Linked DNA regions of Drosophila melanogaster. The protein of the gene in region 2 interacts with the protein of the main gene of each other region in a pairwise test. Each region holds a gene or a part of one and is shown on either strand. Other genes may lie near its edges. The genes, in order: can and mi.

What was found.
Region 1: the proteins of mi (region 2) and can interact in a two-hybrid assay, tested with the Drosophila melanogaster proteins (one large-scale study listed by BioGRID).

Annotation. Positions count from the first base shown.
Region 1 is NT_037436.4:10,263,266-10,268,822, forward strand, and holds can (cannonball), read right to left. Parts: upstream 3,847-5,557; 5' UTR 3,801-3,846; coding exon 3,762-3,800; intron 3,688-3,761; coding exon 3,396-3,687; intron 3,342-3,395; coding exon 3,281-3,341; intron 3,215-3,280; coding exon 3,062-3,214; intron 3,006-3,061; coding exon 722-3,005; 3' UTR 644-721; downstream 1-643.
Region 2 is NT_033778.4:23,521,776-23,528,761, reverse strand, and holds mi (minus), read right to left. Parts: upstream 4,907-6,986; 5' UTR 4,626-4,906; intron 4,529-4,625; 5' UTR 4,413-4,528; coding exon 4,350-4,412; intron 4,293-4,349; coding exon 3,241-4,292; intron 3,179-3,240; coding exon 3,044-3,178; intron 2,984-3,043; coding exon 2,849-2,983; intron 2,786-2,848; coding exon 2,724-2,785; intron 2,667-2,723; coding exon 2,053-2,666; intron 1,949-2,052; coding exon 1,788-1,948; intron 1,728-1,787; coding exon 1,124-1,727; 3' UTR 510-1,123; downstream 1-509. Other genes in the region: RabX1, read left to right, coding at 5,492-5,534, 6,570-6,703.

The DNA.
Region 1 (5,557 bases), on a different chromosome or scaffold from region 2:
ATTTTGGTTGCCAAGGGAGCGTACATGGGCAGCAAGGACAACGACAACACTTGAGTTCTGTTTTCGAAGCCGAAAGAGAAGGACAACAACCACCGGCTAAAGCGGCAGCATAAGAAGTTGCGTAAATATATTGTCCTGTCGCTTATTCTTAAGGGGGGTTTTTTCGTGGATGCGGGACAGGACGAAGGACGAAGGACGCAGGACGAGGGACATCGGACTGCGGTCGGCCGGGACCAATTCGAAGCTCAACTGCCAGCCCCATGGGCGTTTGGACGCAGTTAGTCGAGCGTGCCTGGCGGATTTTTTAATGCGTGCCTCTATAAATTTTGCACGCCTTTTGTAAATGTGAGGACCACGAAGAAATCTCCTGCAGGAGGAGTGGATTTTTTTCAAGGAGGAATGAGTCGTGGGCAGCTGTACACGTGGCCTGACCTGTTTTTTTTTTTTTCGAAACTGTCAAATTGTTGTTACTGCAGCATTCTCCTTCGCTCTGGGGGTTTGTCTCTGCTTCAGAAAATCTTGTATATTTGTCATACGAAATGTTTATCTCCAATATTATTCCATAAATAACATGAAACAACCCTGCTTTAAAAATAATTTTGCGGGTAAGCATTATTTTTGTGAATTACAAAACGCAATCGTTCTATTTGAAACTTTCGATGGTTTATATACATTTATTTACAGTTTTTTATTTAAATACTTAAGAGAGAGCTTACAATAATTAAGATTTGTTCTCCTTCTCTACCTGCGAAGTATCCAAATTAATTTCGTCCTTCAGATCGTAACAAGCCTTCAATTTGATGGTGTCTAGAAAATCCAGCCATTCGCCGAGTTCCTTTTTCTTCTCCTCCTTGTGCTTGTTCTGATTAAGCTTCACGTCGAGGACATCATTCTCAAATTCTCGAGGAGTCACACAGAAACCAAGTAAGAGATTGCGACGTGTAAAGCGGATCATATAAAATGGTTCTCCCTTGGTGAAAAATGAGCTGACCAGCAAATTATTGGCACTCGATTCTTGAGTTCCCGCCTGGTTTTTCATACTTATCTTGGCCCTGTTCAAGTAATTCTTAATCACCTGCTCAAAGTCCCACAAGGTCAGCTGGCAATCCTGTCCACCCACAACCAATATGTTATTATCCAAAGAGATTTCCATGGTATTAATCGAGGCCTTATGATGGTCAAAGAACTGCATCAAAATCTCATTGGCTGTGTCCCAAATCATGATGAGATTGTCATCGCCTCCAGAAACCAAATAACGACCGCAAATTGAGTAGATCAAGGCGGTTATCCTGCTTTTATGACCACGAAAAATGCGCACTTGAACAGCCTTGACAATATCCCAGATCCTAACAGTGCAATCAGCAGATCCAGTGGCCATATAGTGACGATTTGGATGAAATAGGCACACCCCGAGCTCGGCCAGATGTCCTTGAAGAATTCGGGCGGGTTTCGTATTATCCTGCATCCAAACTCTCGCCGTACAATCATCCGATGCGGTGGCGAAATAATAACCCCTTGGTGCAAAAACAACAAAGCAAACCGGTGCCAAATGGCCGGAAAAAATAACCACACAACTCCAGGACAGAAGGCACCACAAGCGAACGCTGAAATCCTCGGAACATGTGATCAGAAAGCGATCCTCTGGATTAAAGGAACAACCATAGACAGGTCCTTGATGTCCGTACAGAGTACGTCTGGTGAACTTCTTAATGGGATCTATCATATCCTTATCAACCCCAGCCATTCCGGTATCCAGATTTTTTAGCCACTGTGCAGCTTTCACTTGAACCAATTTAGAGGGTTTCAGAGAGAAAACATATACCTTAGAGGATACAGTTCCCAGTGCCAACATGCTATTGCCTTCCGAGAAGGTGGCACAAATCACGACCTCATCGGAGGGAGAAGTTGTGTACAAGTAAGTCGATGGCAGGTTATTCCGATCTAATTTCATTCGATACTGTTCATCACTCTTCATGTGAAGCAAATCCATTTTGTTGGGAATCGGATTGTAAACCCTATTTACCGGTGGCAAATGTAAATTATCTGATAACTGTGGTTCGCTCCTTTTCTTGCGACGTTTTTGAAAAAAAGGACGAGCGGCAAAGTCCTTTTTGTGCAAGGGTTCTGGAGCACCATACCATATCGGCTCCAAAAGAGGCTGTCCTATGGCAAATCGTTGCTGGGGCTTGTCATCTTCACTATAAGGCTGTATTTGAAAATGGCTCAGCAATTTTTCTTGCTGACCTCTAGTCCATTCCTCTGTGCAAAGAAGTAACTGTCGAAAAGCTCCCTCAGACATTTCAATCTTCACCTTTTCAAGGCCAGCCAATAATTTGCGTGCTTTATTCGGAACTTCTGCTGGCTTGGAAATTTCTCTTAGCTTTATAATTCTTGATATATATGAATCGTCGAGATGATCTTGAAAGCGAACAAGAAGCATCCTAGCTTTCTGTATCTTATCACTGGCCATCATTTGGAGATAAGTTAGGACCAACAAGGGATATAACAGAATATATATCTCGTATTTGTAGTGACTTGGTGTCGATTGGATCAGTTTAATAAGTTTCTTTACCGCGAATTCATAATCCGCAAAAACCGAATCCTCTTTGATAACCAACAAGCTAACATTTTCCATGTTTTCCAGAAACTGAGCACTATCTTCGTAAAAATCTGAGCCATCACGGGTCCTAATGGCTTCGTCGATATCACATTCACTTCGATGATCTGGGGAACTCTCGTCTTCATTCAAAATAGCCATTAGTTCTTCTTGTGAAACTTCGCCCTTGTCAACGGGACGCAATGACATTTCCTCCCAGTAAGTACATTTATTCTCGTTATGCTGTTCATCAAGATCAGTTTCACCATAATCATAATCATCTAAACTGCTCAAACTAAAACTGGAACTGGTGTTACTGTCCGAAAAGTTGTCATCCTCATCGGCTTTTAACTTTTCTTTTTCCAACTCAGAATCGGATTTATCCAACTCAATTGGCATTTCTGCGTCACTGCGATTCGTGTGCCAGAATTAGTGGAAGTAACTTAATTATAACTTAAGACTTACGTTACTTCCTTAATTAAGTCTGGTTGTATGATGGGTGGCACCATTTCAAATTGACAGGTTTCTTCATCATAAATCGGCATCGATGGCATCGGACCAGTAAAAACTGGTATTGAGGGAAGTTCTTCACAAGCCTTTGGTTTTTCATCTTCAGCACTAAAGGAAAGGAATTAAAAACTCTAGTGTAAACTAAGTCCGAAAATATTTGTTAATATCGCTAACCTTTTATTGAATGGAAATAGATTGACATTCTTTATTCTGTTAATCCATTCGGTGGGCGATCCTGAAAATAACGTTCCTTACTTTGTTAATATGCATTTCCTTTTTGGAAACTTACCATCTGAGTTGGAATCATCTGAATCGCTAATTTTATCGGACTCCGAGCTGCTCCATATTTCGCTATTACGATCATCTATATCGTCTTCATCATCGGAGCAAGCAATTTCGAGTCCCATAAGGTCTTCGAATTCTTTCAAATACCATTTGTTCATTTTTATCTGACTATTTTCATTCTTAGACTTTTGGCGTTCCTTGTTTTTGGGTTTATCCTTGTTATCCTCCAGTTTCATAAGCTCATTTCTGATATCATCGGAATCGGAATCATCCGAATCGGAAATAACGTACACTTCCTGATTGAGCGCATGAAGAGTTTGGATACTTATTTTAACCAGTTGTTAGAAAGCGCATACATATTCTTACTCACATCACTAGATGGTATTAGTATTGGCAATGGTAAATCCATCTTTATTGCTCTTAAATATTTGAACAATCCAAATCAGCCCTAGTGCAATAAGTGAATATTTTCCTTGACTTGACAAGTTTTCGATTTGACAGCTGCGCATTGTGTGGCCGTATTTTTGAAGCCCATTTTGCCAAAAAGCCAAAATCTGATTTTGTTTTATGACGTTAAAACTTTTTTTTTTGGATATATTGTACATTGTTTCTAACAAACAAAATGTATTTCCCAATATATATATATATTTCTTTCTTAATTGTTAATTTATATTACAACACCTTATAACTTTTCAAATGGTCTTTATGGCATGGCCAGCTCAACTTTTGTGGTTGATATTATGTTTTCAAATACATTCCCTCTATTCGATTTATCCATTTTTTTTCACAAATTTTACCCAACATGACACGGCGACTACCGCTGATCTGAAACAAAATGCTGGCTCAGCAGCACATCACATGAGGGCGCTGGAATCCAGGGTGTCCTTAAAAAGCGAGGGGTGGTGGAGGGGCTGAACGACTGGTCCATAGGTAAAAAAAAATTAATTTGCATACCCAATACTCGACGGATTTGTTGCTACGCAGAGGTTTCCCATGCCACTGTCCATTTCAGGGACCTCTTTTAATTTTACGTTATACCCTATATGTATATTGGGTGTTTTTAATTTTCCGCCCAAAGATCTGCTCACAAAGGTAAAATCGTTTTACCTTGAAGGTGAAAGTTTGTCAGTCTATTGTAAATTCTTAATGACCAACAGGGTTACACAACTATCTAAATAATTTGGAATATTTTTTAACAGAGTATTTTTCATTCGGCTCTAAAAATAATTTTATGTTTTGATACTTCTTTTCACCACTCACTTGTCAGTGGAATTGTGCGAGTATGCTGGCGGACCAAAACCCGCGGATGCGTTTGGAATTCTTCCGCAGTTCGGGCAATATGTCGGCGGCGCTGGCAACTCATTTTGCAGGGCACATAAAATAAAAAAGACGTGCGTAAAAAATGGATATACAAAAAGCCGGCGACAGGACAACCCGCAGCAGAAGCAGAAAATGTAGCTGCATATTGTTTTGTAATTTTCGCCATGATTTATGGCGCGCACGGGGATGCACACTTTAAGTGCTTTAAATAAAATAAAAAAAAAAACTGCATTAAAAACTAGGAATATTGGCAATTGGTATTCATGGATGGGTATGTGTGTCAATAGTCAAGGGCCAACAGTTAGAGGCGAACACAATGGCAAACAAAGCCTCATTATGGACAGCAACAATTGCCAAATCACTTGATATGTAATGCTGGCCATAGATAAATCACACTGCAGCATAATCCATTGTAAAGTGTCGAAAAGCTGCAATTGAAATGCAAATCAATGCAAATCGATACTTGAATCATCACCAGCCGCAACAGCAGCAGCACCACCAGAATCTGAATCAGAAACAGAAACTCGAACATGAATGATTCATGCAACGCACGCGAACATTCAAATGCAAATACTCGAATGCCAGAATGCAAAATCCGAAATGCAAAAATTATCCAAAAATGCAAATTTGCGAGTGCGAAAGCCCCGCTGAGTGAGGCCAACAATCAAATCAAAATAAATGCACCGCACACACACACCGAAATCCCAAATTGCAACAAAGCCAAAAGTAAACACACAACAAACAATGCAGCTTGCGGATTTTCGCACTTCCGCTTAACTGTTGCTAATTTGATTAGGGAATTTTCCACAGGGGCGGGGTGCAAAAGTCGAAAAGGGGGCGTGGCAA
Region 2 (6,986 bases):
GGCTTCCTTTTGTACCTCAGCATGGGCTTCCTGATGAGCCTGTCCGCGGTGGCGGCTGTTGGCTATGGGGTCTTCCTCTCCAGCCTCTTCGAGTCGGATAAGATGGCCTCCGAGTGCGCGGCGCCCTTCGATCTGATCTTCCTTATCTTTGGCGGCACCTACATGAATGTGGACACAGTGCCTGGACTAAAGTACCTCTCGTTGTTCTTCTACTCCAACGAGGCGCTGATGTACAAGTTCTGGATCGACATCGATAATATCGGTGAGCTTACCTCCAAGTAGATAATCAGGATGCATGTTATCCAATAATATTTTATCCAGACTGCCCCGTCAACGAGGATCATCCGTGCATCAAGACCGGAGTGGAGGTGCTGCAGCAGGGATCCTATCGCACCGCCGACTACACCTATTGGCTGGACTGCTTCAGTCTGGTGGTGGTGGCCGTCATCTTTCACATCGTGTCCTTTGGGCTGGTTAGGCGATACATTCACCGCAGTGGTTACTATTGATTGGGGCGCTTTTATTATACTAATTTCAGTTTACACTGTTACAGAACTTGCTTCAGCTTAATTTCAGTTGCATTGAGTACTCGTGCGGTAGTTAAGTAAAATTTGTAATTTTTAAGCACAAAATGTTCTTAATACATCTAAACTTCAGTGGAAAATATTGCATTCATCAAATTTGAGTCGCATAAAATAAATCCCATATAGATCATGTATGTATGCCGTTACTAAAAGAAATTTAACTTGCATTTGAACTACATTTGAGCTCAAGGAAAAGTCGGGAGTCTTGCGAGTCGAAGAAGAGGCGATCTATAAGATCTATATCAGATTATTTTACTTATACCTATTATTATACGATTGTCTGTCATTATATATAAATGGTTTGAAAGGGTTTAAAGAGACCTGACAGTTGAATTAATAAATTAAGCTAAAACAAACAAAAAATAATGGAAACAAAAACGAGTTAATCTTTTTGCTTACAAGGCTAAAGAGCTAAAACTCATTTACACGTCGGGCAGCTCCTTGCCTCTGCTCCTAGAATTTCAAGGGATCGGAGAGGATTTATGGGCATCATATTATGATAATGACGTTTCAACAATTATCCTATTGGCCCTACTCTTCTAGCAGTCAAAGGAAATCTGTCTCTTGGCCTTGCCTCCGGAGTGGTTGCTGTTGCCCACGGGTGGCATTTGGAACTTGCGCGCAGAGCTGTTACTTCCGCCGCCTCCGAAGTAGGGACTGATGTTCTGCTGGTCCTTGCCGGTAAAGTTCTTTTGCGCCGAACGGCGAGCCTCGCAGTCCATGTTCTCGCGCAGCGCGAGTCCGCCTAGGTTACTCTTCGACGAGCTGTTCTGGAGCGAGGCATTGGGCCGGATGGGTTGGCGTTCCTTGCAGAAGAGATCCTCCGAGATGCGATCCACTATACTCGATTGCGTTTCGGAGCAGGCATTTGTGGGCAGGCTCATTTGACTCAGACCGAAGGAATCGATGGAGTTCTCGCTGCCGAAGATGTTGTGCAGGGATCGCGCCGAACCTGCTGCTGATCCTACGACCGATGTTTGCGAGAGAAGCAGTTTACGCTGGGCAAACTCCTCCGGACCGATGTAGCCCGAGAGGCGGGTGCTCGACAACCGCTTGGCCTCGCATTCCTGACTGCGCGCCTGCAGGTAAACGTCGTCCGCATTCTTCCCCGCAATCACGCTAAAGGCAAACTTCTTGGCCAGCCTGCGGAAGGTGGAAGTTCCAATAGTGCCTATACGAGTATTATATCCACCCCTTACTCACCTTAGCAGTGTTTCGCTGTTGCTGGACGAATGTCCCAGGTAGAATTCCTGGAAGATGCGCTTCACAATGCGCGTAAGGTCTGCCGCATGCTGACGGAATTGCTCGTGCTTCGGCGTAATTTTCTTCTCCTGCAGTGCCTGCGACACAGCCCAAAGGAGTTTCTGTGGCAATAAACGAGATTAGTTATGACGGTTAAGTGAACGAATCTTAGGGATAAACCATACACAAAAGGCATAATTTGATGTATAGATAAATAGAGGCTCACCTTTCGCTGGTTATCAGTCATACTGCTATTCGGTGTGGCGCTCATCTCCGAGTGCGCTCTGTGCAGTTTACTCGCCAGTGGCGTACCGCTTGCAAAAGATGCCGGGTTAACCAGGTTGCTACTGCTGCCGCTCAGGCCAAGACTGAGCCGCGTCTGCCCAGGGGTAGCAGCCGCGTGCTGCGCCAACTTTAGCTGAACACCCGCAGTGGAGGAACCAGCTCCAATGCAGAAACTCTGGCTCTTGATCTTTAGAGCGCGAGGAGTCAACCCACTGGGTCCACTGCTCTCGGCCCGGAAGAGCTTGCTGCTCTGGCTAGCCAAATCAGCTGAATCCTCGTCGTCATCGCAGGCGTTTCTTTTCCGCTTCAGGATCGACTCCAGCTGGTTACTGCTGCCCTGGTGATCCGGCGAAAAGAGAGCGCGCTTCGACCGCTCTACGCGGTTCGCAATCTCCGGCTTGAAGAGCGGTTTGGGCGGCATTAGCTGCTGTTGCTGCAGGGTTTTGGCCGGACTTTGGAATAAGGCACGCTTAGAGGTTTCTCTCGAAGGTCCTGGCTTGATGAGATCAGTGCGGTAGAGGCGCTTTCGGGCGGATGAAGATGGCGTCTTGCGAGCTGGTGCAAATGCATCATTAACAAAAGTACATTGGCTTATCTTATCAAATCACTCACCTTTTTTCTTGCTGCCCGGCGTCTTTCGCTTGGGCGTGGCCTTGCGTTTATTTCGCACTTTTCTGTAAGCCAAAATCATGGAAATTAGTATGTGTTTGGAGTTTTTAATCACAAAAGCTACCCACTTCTTATCTAGCATTATTTGTGGTCCAATTGAGCTGTTAAGCTTCTGTGAGTTGGTGGCTAGATTCGCAGATGAAAATATGGCACGTCGTTTGGCCAAATGACTGAGGCGATTGCCAGGCGATTGGGTTAACATTCTGTAAGGAGTTGGGTTCAGTGAGTTAAACGTTCACACGGCTGACTAATTTATTACTCACTTCATACGCATGTTTCTCTTCTTGGCGCTCGATGGCGATCTCACATAGGACGTCGCGGTTTCCACGCCCACATAGCGGTCCACCACGGACATGCTGAGGTATTCATTTTGTTCGGCAGCCTTGTTAAGATTGTAGCTGTGAATGGAAGCGGGTAATGAAAACACTGCAAGCACAAACGAATCCTTTAAAGAGCATACCTCAGTCCATGATGTCTTACTCCCAGCACATCCCGCCAGCCCATGTTTTGAGCCTCCGAGAGACTGTGAGATGGTCGAAACAGTGAGGTTGTTTCGCTAATGCCACTGTCCTCGATTCTGGGTGTAGATGGTGGGCTATCCTTGGAGAGAAAGTTTAGCACGTTTGATTTCATGCTAAGCACCATTTTGATGACGTCCACATCGGGTGCAGTCACCGAGGGCGGCGGACGAACTCCCTGTAGGCAGCGACGAATCCGCCGATACAGCTCCCGTTCTCTCCTGCAGTTCTCCAAGAAGTGCGACCGGGGGTCGTTGGCGTTCAGCTGGGTGCTCGAAAGGTCCATCGTCTGCTCATCCACAAAACTGGACTCCGTGGGAGCATTCAGCGAGGAGCGAGCTCGTGCGTCGCTGGTGCACTGCGACTCTTCCAACACTTCGGGCAGATCCTCCAGCCTGGTGGGCGGCTCTTTTTCCGGTTGCTCGTCGTTGTCAGCTTCATCGTCGCTGTCGGCAAAGAGATCAGGTGAGCGTTCGTTGTTGAACTTCTGCTGCGAGGTGTTGAGCGAGGTTTCTAGCACGTTTGACAGACGTGGATTCGTAGCATTGGAGGGCCCAGGCTTGTCCTGAATTTCGGGCTTTGCGGTCAGGCTCTTGATTTTGCCATCGAAGGAGAGGCTGCCCGTTGTCGTGGTGGCTGTCGTGGCCACTGACACGGCCATGTCCACGGCATTGCAGCTGTTCTCCTCGATGAGGGTGTCGTAGAACCGGGGAAAGACAATCTTGCCCGGCGAGGGACGTCGGACGGCAGGGGGCTCCACCTCCGGCAGCTTAAGGTTCTGCAGCTGGGAGCCATACAGACGCTTGTTCACCTGGCCATATGGGCTGTCTCCGAAGCCCAGGAACTGCGATTCCTGGCTGCCCGTCTTCGGATTGGGTGGCGTTGGGGTTTCCTTGATGGGCTGGCTGCTCAGTGCTTTCGGTTTCATCAGATACGGTAAGTTCATGTGATCCTCGTCAGATATGTGGCTCTCATTGTTTTCACTGAGCGAAGACTATAAAACACAAAGTTTCAGCAAGCTCGCAACCGCAAGGACACCAATTAGTCTTACCCCGCTTCCTGTAGAAGGCTCCGATTCGTAGCTGTTGTTTATCTTGTTTCCAATAGTGGCCATTCTTCGAATAAAAATAGATTTCTCGTTGTAGTTATAGCTTCTTCTATAGCCCGAAGTTATTTTAGGCACGCGGCATTTTGTACAGGCTGCTCCAGTTTGTGGAGCCTGACGAATGGCTAGATTGACGGGGCAGAGAAAAGTGAAAGTAAGCACGGGGAGTCACTGACGATTTTCTTATCTTAGCCGCATTAATCTTCTTGGCAGTGCATTTACCTTTTGGAAATGTGGCACTTTTCCCAGGTCGGGGAAAACTAAGTTACCCAAGCGAAAAACGCGCGTAGAAGTCTGACTTTTGCGGACATTTAACGCGCTCGAGTCGCACGCTGCACGCCTATCGCTAGTATCCAGTTGTGCCCGCGAGCTTGTAGCTCCTAATGCATGTTGTCTAGCTCCTTAAAATACCTTTAATTTGTTAATTTATCTATAAAACACTGTTGTTAAAATCGCCTGTATGAACATCTGCCTGCTTTTGGCGGTGGTACTAACGCGTCTGGGAAATGCAATTAGTGATGGGCGATAGTTTTGCTATCGGGTGGCATCTTCCAAGCGGTAATCGGGGTCGTGATTTTTCTAGTAGTCATATTCCTGATTGGAATCCTTGCTAACCAATCAAACTAACACATAAATATATTTTTTACGAATATATTTACTTGTGAAACAAAGTTATTTCCTTGCGAAATTCTACTCTGCAAGACCAGCTATCGCTGCCAGCAGCAACTATCGCACCTCGTGTCAGCCCTGGTAAACAGCTGTTCGCGCATAACATAACACAATAACAACAAGCCTTCAAATTTATTAAATCTTTTATCTTTACTGCTGACTGCGCGCTTTTAATCGCAGCGCCCGCTTTGAAAACCCCCACCGACTCCGATAAATTCAGTTGTGCCCAAGAAATCAGACGCAGCAGGCCGCCAAAGGGCCAATTACGCGCTTCCCAACCACTGGCTCTGCAAGCAACAACAACAACAGCAGCAACAACCACTGAGCCAACAACACATCATCTCATCCATTTTACAAAAAAAAAAAACGTCACTAAAGTCCACGGAAAGCGATGCGATTGAGCCGCTAATCTCGGCGAGATGCGCGGAATCGAGGGCAAAGTGCTTGTTCTGGGCTCGCGAGGTAAGCACACACGTTTCCACCCGTTTCCGATTTCAATGGCCATTCGGCGGACTCCATTCAGAAGTCTCAATGATCCGCATAATGACAGTAATTCCATCAATTGCCCAGTGATAAGATTAACAACCGGGGTGAGCCGATAAGCCGTAGCCTTGAACTCCACTGGCCCCAATTGGGAATCTGCAGGCTGCATGCTGCAATCTGGATTTAGGTAGATGCAGAAGAGAGTCTGGCAAAGACAGCGTGTCTGGTTGGGATTAGGCTGAACTAGCCGATGAATTTAACCACACACGATGTCATCACATCAAGATGACGTTGCCCTTGGGATTTGGATTTACGATAAGAAATCTGTGTTAATGGGCCAAATTTGATGGCTTCCGTAGTGCACAACTCCGAAACTTAAAATTGTTCATTTCTACATTTGTACTCCAAAAACATATCAAGGGGGAAGCCTCCACCGTCTACCCTCTTCTACACAACAAAGTGGACATTTTTTGCAGCGTAATCGGCTGACGAATTCGCAATGAGTATATGTATTTAAGTTTGGCCCAAGGTCAACTAAGGGGGCTTATATGCACAGCGGGTGCAGTATTTGCTCTGCTTTTTCGCCAAACAAAGGGACGCATTGATAAAAAAAAGGCGGTACTTTCCTCGGAATATACGTTCTTCCCATAATCGCCGGATGATTCAGTGCATGCACATACTGCAGCTCCACGCGGAGATTCCCCGTCTGATCAAACACAGAGGGGCTTCTCTGAGCCACAAAAAAGTGGGCGCCGAACAAAGAATCTCGTGGTCGGTAGGCGATTCCTTATCGCTGTTTACCACCTTTTGCGGGCTAGTGCGTCTCCAGTTTTTGTTTTGTTTATTCGGCTCAATTTGCGTGATTAATCAGCGGTCAATTAATGCGTGCGCCATTCCACGTTCACTGATAAGCTGCACGGCATTATGCTTGAAGCGAAATAGGGCTCACGGGTACACAGAAAGACAATGCTGTATCTCTCGATTAATTGCATAATTTGTGTTCTTGTCTTGCAGGTGTGGGCAAAACACGTTTGGTCATCCGCTACATAAAGAACACGCTGCACCGCAAGGAAAGCGAGGTACCCACGATAGCCGTGTCCTTCTTCACGTGCAACATCATCCTGGACGAGGTCAAAATTAAATTGCAAGTGCGTATACAGCAGCCAGAATATGTATCAGTGCGACCAACTCTTTTGGGGCGAACGCAAATGGAATTGCCTCGTAAAAAAGCCGAAGCCAAAGGCAAAGCCAAAGGAATTTGCCACTGCCCCACGCGCCCACTAATCCTATTTGCCGGCTGGGCTGCCGGAACGCTAATCTGGGTTTATTCTGCCACTGGCTGCGCCGCGGGTACTTCTCGTCCGCCGTCTCCGCCGCCCACTGTTTTGGTCACTTTATTTGTCCTTTTTTGTTTGCAATTTGTGCGTCCGC